2 linked regions of the Sus scrofa genome follow. The protein of the gene in region 1 interacts with the protein of each later gene in a pairwise test. Links are inferred from orthologs where the notes say so. Each region holds a gene or a part of one and is shown in the gene's direction. Other genes may lie near its edges.

Evidence for each region.
Region 2: the proteins of AIDA (region 1) and PINX1 interact in binary tests that used the Homo sapiens proteins (3 or more experiments, as listed by UniProt). The link is inferred for Sus scrofa from reciprocal best matches to the Homo sapiens genes AIDA and PINX1.

Annotation. Positions count from the first base shown.
Region 1 is NC_010452.4:11,432,972-11,435,919, reverse strand, and holds part of AIDA (axin interactor, dorsalization-associated protein), read left to right. Parts: intron 1-565; coding exon 566-688; intron 689-2,948. UniProt on the Homo sapiens protein: Acts as a ventralizing factor during embryogenesis. Inhibits axin-mediated JNK activation by binding axin and disrupting axin homodimerization. This in turn antagonizes a Wnt/beta-catenin-independent dorsalization pathway activated by AXIN/JNK-signaling.
Region 2 is NC_010456.5:14,039,254-14,043,005, reverse strand, and holds the start of PINX1 (PIN2/TERF1-interacting telomerase inhibitor 1), read left to right. Parts: upstream 1-1,165; 5' UTR 1,166-1,305; coding exon 1,306-1,324; intron 1,325-1,695; exon of another isoform or gene 1,696-2,167; coding exon of another isoform or gene 2,168-2,189; intron 2,190-3,752. UniProt on the Homo sapiens protein: Microtubule-binding protein essential for faithful chromosome segregation. Mediates TRF1 and TERT accumulation in nucleolus and enhances TRF1 binding to telomeres. Inhibits telomerase activity. May inhibit cell proliferation and act as tumor suppressor.

The DNA of each region.
Region 1 (2,948 bases):
TGGATGATTGCTGGCTCCAGAAGTTACAGCCGGGTACCATACATGGTGTGCCAGCTGGTTATTGTAAACCAGCTGACGCCATAGCACACAGAATGAGGGTTTAGATAATGTATATAAAAATTGTCCAGTCATGGACAGGTTTCCCTCGCAGCTGTCGTGTCCCCTTTTTGGCCTCTGACTTGCACACCGCCGAGGCGTCCTGGCAATGTTGGGATTCCACATCGTGCACCCGATCAAGGCTGGGAAAGAGGGGTAGGGACCCCACTGCGGAGTATTGCTCACGTCCCCAAGTATGATTCCCAGGGATACCCTGGCCTGTTCCCCACTCGAGGGATCCATGTTTGTTGGGTGTAAGAGGCTTCCCCCCGCCCCCAGGGCTCCTACCCTCTCTGCTCAGTGCCCCCTCCAGGTGCAAACCCGCCTCCTTGAGGTACCTGCCACACCAGGGGGAGTTCTGTCCACCTAAGACTCTGCCCTGAGCTGCTGCCTCTTTAGGAAGCACAGCCCGTTGTGGTTGCTTCGCAGTGTGTGTGTCTGTGTATTTGAACATTTCTTTCCTCCCTAGATCTGAATGGCATAGATTTAACTCCTGTGCAGGACACTCCTGTGGCTTCGAGAAAAGAAGATACATACGTTCATTTCAATGTGGACATTGAGCTCCAGAAGCATGTTGAAAAATTAACCAAAGGTTTGTGGTGCTAAAAGTGGACCCAGATTCCGAATCTGACTCTTCGTTTTCTCCAGCTTTGACTCTGTCGTGTACCGTGACGGTCGTTTTAACTGCGACTGATGCTGTCGATGAGCCTTTTTGTTTACAGGCAGTTCAGGGACTGTCCCTGCTGTTCTCACTTGGCATTTTGTTCTCATAAATGTCCTTGAAGTACAGAGCTATGCCCCCCGGGAATGCAGGAAATAGATTATCTACAGATGATGCAGATGGATAATAAAAAAAAATTTAACTTCTTTAAAATGATGGTATCATATTTGGACTTTAATGTTTATCTTTTAATTTTTTATTTAGTTTCGTTTTTTGCTTTTTAGGGCCTCACTTGTGGCACATGGAGGTTCCCAAGCTAGGGGTCAAATCAGAGCTACAGCTGCCAGCCTACCCCACAGCCACAGCAATGCGGGATCCAAGCTGCATCTGCGACCTACACCACAGCTCAGGGCAACGCCAGATCCTTAACTTGATGATTGAGGCCAGGAATCAAACCCACATCCTTATGGTTCCTAGTTGGATTCGTTTCTGCTGCGCCACAACAGGAACTCCCTAATGTTGTTTTCAAATTGATTTTATTTTCACATTTATTCAGACCTCAGACATAGTCATGATGACAAGAATCCTGTAGCTGAAGAGACTAAGAAATGTGATCTGCTATCCTTTGGTTCCTTTTTTTAAAAATTATTTATTTATTTTTGTCTTTTTAGGGCCTCACCTGTAGCATATGGAGGTTCCCAGGCTAGGGGTCTCATCGGAGCTGTAGCTGCCAACCTACACCACAGTCACAGCAATGCCAGATCCTCAAACCACCTGAGTGAGGCCAGGGATCGAACCCACCACCTCATGGTTCCTAGTGGATTCGTTAACCACTGAGCCACGACGGGAACTCTGTGATCTGCTGTCTTAAAAATCCGTGAGGTTTTTTAAAAAATAAAATGCCTCCCTTATTGTCACAAAAGGGAGAAGAGACGTTCCTCCCTTGTGGACATGGCAGGGTCATACACCTGGGGACAGAGGGCACCAGTAAGCCGGCCGTCGTGCTCCTTTGGTGCCTGTGAGCAGCAGAGCCAACACGCCCGTCTCTCCCCTGCCCGCATCCTCTGTCTCCTGGGCCGGTGGTTTTTCTCTCCTCCCCTGATTGGAGAAGCGCTGGCTCCATTTGGCCCCAGGCGCCAGGGCTGCGCACCCTGACGAGCACTGTTGAACGTCTGGTCACTCTGAGTGTGATCCGCAGGGAAAGTACTGATGTGTGCTGACCGTCTGGAGGGCAGAGCCGGATCCAGCACTGCTCCGGCGAAGGCCGTGTCACTAAGTCGCCAGTCCAGAGCGAGCCCCTGGCTTCCTTGCGTCCCCCCGTGTCCCTCTAGAGATGAGTTGCCTTGGCTGCGTGGATGAGGCAATTTCTTCTTCCCGTTTTGGCTTTTTCTTTGGGGAGGTGGAGCGCGCTCATCTGCTGTGCTTTGGGGGAAAGAAAACTGAATTTTTCGTCACCATTTGCTCACTGGGGAGGGTGCAGGACACCCCTGCTCCTGAAACCCTCGTCCTCCATCGCCCCGTCTTTACGCCAGCGCGCCTCATTCCAGGCAACAGCGGGACTTGGACGCTGGAAAAGCTATCAGGAAATAGGTAACATTTGAAAGCTGAGCCAGTGCATGATTTATGTAGTTTGAACTCAAAACACCGCCAAAATTGAACTTTTGAGTTTTTATTTCAAACGGAAGAGAAACCATTTAAGCTTGGATTTTTTTCTGATTTTTTTTTTTTTTCTCTTTTTTTTAGGGCTGCACCTGAGCACTTGGAGGTTTCCAGGCTAAGGGTCAAATCGGCCTACACCACAGCCACAGCAACGCCAGATCCGAGCCGTGTCTGCGGCCTACACCACAGCTCACGGCAATCCCACATCCTTAACCCACTGATCGAGACCAGGGATCGAACCCGCAACCTCACGGTTGCTAGTTGGATTTGTTTCTGCTGAGCCACGACAGGAACTCCTAAGCTTGGATTTTCTGAAGAACTCTTTTGTGTGCCTTTTCTACTTAGAGTGTCTGCGAGTAATGTTCATACTTAGGCATCGTCCGTGTTCTTTTTGGAATGGTTAGTTACTCTCTGCTCCTGATGGTTCATAACTACACCTCATCCACATCCTGGAGTTTGCCGGCTCAAGACGTTTTGCTCTACTTTGTAGACCTGGGTCTGGGGACATGTCCCTCGGTTCAGAAACAGAAGT
Region 2 (3,752 bases), on another chromosome or scaffold:
ACACTGGTGCCTCTTAGGAATGCTATGTTTAACTAATGATACTCAGCTTTATTTACTTTAGTTTTTTTTAGTGCCACAGGTGCAGTGTATGGAAGTTCCCAGGCAAGGGGTTGAATTGGAGCTGTAACCACAAGCCTACGCCACAGCCGCAGCCTCGAGAGGATCTGAATGGAATCTGCGACATACATCACAGCTCACAGAAACGCCAGATCCTTAACCCACTGAGTGAGGCCAGGAATCAAACCCACATCCTCATGGATACTAGTCAGGTTTGCTACCTTTAAGCCACAACAGGAACTCCTAGGTTCAGTTCTTTTAAATATTTTGAAAGTATTTATCACCATCACCTAAAGTGTTCTTCATAAATCATTTTTCTTCATAGGAAAAAAAGAACAGAGTATATTTTAACCCTGAGTTCATTCATACCTTTGGTTGTTCCCACAAAGTAAGGCCATCAGCATCCACATCCTTGGAAGTTTGTTAGAAATGCAGAATCTCTGGCCCTATCCCAGACCTGCTGAACCAGAGAAATGCATTTCAACAAGATCCCCAGGTAATTCACGCGAACATTAAAGTCTGAGAAAGCCCTGCTCTATGCGAGTCTACCATGAGCCTGAAGAATAAGATAGAACGTCTTGGAGTTCCCGTTGTGGCTTAGCGGCTAACGAACCTGATTGGCAACCATGAGGACGCGGGTTCGATCCCTGGCCTCGCTCAGTGGGCTAAGGATCTGCAGAGGCGGCGGGGCTCGGATCTGCCGTGGCTGTGGCTGTGGCTTAGGCCGGCGGCTACAGCTCCAATTGGACCTCTAGCCTGGGATCCTCCATATGCAGCGGGCGCGGCCTAAAAAGGCCAACCCCCCCCCACCCCCAAAACAACAAAGACAGAATGAGAATGTCTTACACTGAATCTTTCTAAAAGTGCACTATCTATTCCTAGCTGACAATTTAAAAATACCAATAAGATTCTGTAATTTAAAAAAAATTCAAAACTCAGTAACAGTTCGTTTTAGTAGATTATACTCATAGATACTTCACAGACTCGTGGAATTCTGGAGTTGGAACAAACCTTTTAGTAAAGCCCGCCTTGACCCAAACGCAGAGACCCAATGGGTCCGCTCCCCGCTCACCCGCTACCGCGGGAATTGGAAACTGGTCGCGTCTCACTGACGTCAGCAGTGCGCGCCCTCGCCGCTGCAGTTCGCCCGGCGTGTGAGTCCTGTGGTTCTAGGTTCTCAGTAAGTCGGACGCACCGGAGCCGAAGTCGCTCAGGTTTCGAAGCCCTTGGCGTCACAGGCTCGGCGACATGTCGATGCTGGCTGAGCGTGAGTGCTGGGCGCGGAGGGTGGACCACGGCCCATGGGTGAGGGTTCCGGATAACGCGACGGCCGGACCGTGTGGCAGGGGCGCGGGTTGCTGGCGCGCCAGTGGATCGGGAGATTCCGGGAGCCGGGGTCCCGGAAGCCCGGTTTGGCTGGCCCTGGCTGCCGAACCCAGCCCAGCCTTCCCCGAGTTAGCTATATGTCTGCTGGTGAGAGACTTTGAGGGTCCACTTGGGACGCTCGTCTTCACTCTCGGACCCGGGCACTCGCGCGGTAAATTCGAACGGGAGTCAGGACGCCGGGTGTGGGAACCCAGACTGGCTATTTCACTTCCCTAGGCCTCAGCTTCCTCTGGATAAAAGAGGCGGTTGGGCTAGTGAAATCCTGTTCTCGATGTATTGAAGCCAGAGAAAGAAAAGCAAAGGAGTTTGAAACAGCAAACACTGGAAGTTGGCGTTTTTTAGGGGAGGCAGGGCTAATGAGTGTTTTTAAGTAAGATTGTGGCAGTTTTGATGTTTTTAGTTGGAATTATGAACACTTCTTTTAGAGAAGTTTTGGCTGCAACGCCCGTCATGCCTCATTTGCCTTTGACATTTACGGTCACTTGGAGTGAAACTGGTTAATTCCCTCCATCTGGAGAGGCTTTTTAACTTCTGAATGCTACCTGTAGCTAAGGCCGCCGGCCACCAGATGGCAGTCGTGCGTTGGTCATGAAAAGCCGGCCGGTAACTTTCTTGAAAGCGAACTAGGAGCAGAAACAGCATGTTTATCAGATCAACAGCCATTGCGCAGGGGTGCCATGAAGTAAATGCTGTCGGCATCCTCTAATCTAAGAGGGTAGGGGAAATGGAAGCACAAGATGAAGTGGGTAAGGCAGCATTCAAATTTTAGAGGGGCAGAGATTGAGGTTCAGAGGAAATATAATGCAGCTTAAGTCATGGAGGTAAAAAGTGACAAAATTCATCTAGTTATATATCTTTACGTTCTTGTCACTAGAGTCAGCAATCTTCTATTTTCTTTTTTTAAATAGAGACTTACAGAAGAGAGTATGTTTTAGACTGTGACCCTACTACCTCTATTTTCTCATTTGTATATCCAGCGTGGCTAATATCTCCTGGTTTTAATGTTCTTTGGTGTAAGCTTAGTTCAGCATACACTTGGGAGCGTTGGCCCTGGCTCTGCCATTCATTTATGTCTCTTTCCATAATCAGTTTCCCTAGAGCTATTAAAAATTTCTTTGAGGAGTTCCTGTTATGGCGCAGTGGAAACAAATCGGACTAGTTTCCATGACGATGCCGGGCGGGGCGGGGGGGGGGGGTCCATCCCTGGCCTTGCTCAGTGGGTCGGGGATCCAGCATTGAGCTGTGGTGTAGATCGCAGACGCAGCTCTGATCCCGCTTTGCTGTGTAGTAGGCCGGCAGCTGTCGCTCCCATTCGACCCCTAGCTTGGGAATTTACATATGCCACGTTGTAGCCTTAAAAAAGAAAAAATGGAGTTCCCGTCGTGGCGCAGTGGTTAACGAATCTGACTGGAAACCACAAGGCTGCAGGTTCGATCCCTGGCCTTGCTCAGTGGGTAAAGGGTCCGGCGTGGGCATGAGCTGTGGTGTAGGTTGAAGACGTGGCTCGGATCCTGCGTTGCTGTGGCTCTGGCGTAGGCCGGCAGCTGCAGCTCCAATTAGACCCCTAGCCTGGGAACCTCCATATGCCGCGGGTGCGGCACTAGAAAAGGCAAAAAGACAAAAAACAAAAACAAATTTCTTTGATTATGTTCATCACTAGATTGGCTTAAAAAAATCAATGATATGGTGAAGATGAAAACAGTTAAAAGTATATAAAGTGATAACGCCGTTGTGAAGTTCCATATGTGGACATCAGTAATTCAGATTGCTTGATCTGAAGAAAATATTTTCAGTTCTCCTCTCCCCACCCTGACTCCAGATTTTCAAATCTTTGGAATGATAATATATATTTTGGTTATTTTGTTATTATTATTATTATTATTTTTTTTGGTCTTTTTGCCTTTTTTAGGGCCGCTCCTGTGGCATGCAGAGGTTCCCAGGCTAGGGGTCTAATTGGAGCTGCAGCCACCGGCCTACGCCAGAGCCACAGCAACGTGGGATCCAAGCCATGTCTGCAACCTACACCACAGCTCATGGCAATACTGGTTCCTTAACCCACTGAGCAAGGCCAAGGATCGAACCTGCAACCTCATGGTTCCTAGTTGGATTCGTTAACCACTGTGCCACGATGGGAACTCCCATATTTTGGTTATCTTTTTAAAAATTTGCTAAATTAATGTTTATGGCATCTTTTCTAATTAGATACTTAGAACTGGTTTTCTTATTTTAGAAATGAGAAAACAAAAGCATAAAAAAGTCCCAGTCCCATTATTTCATTACCTAGGAATTATTTTATCTGATAGTTTATA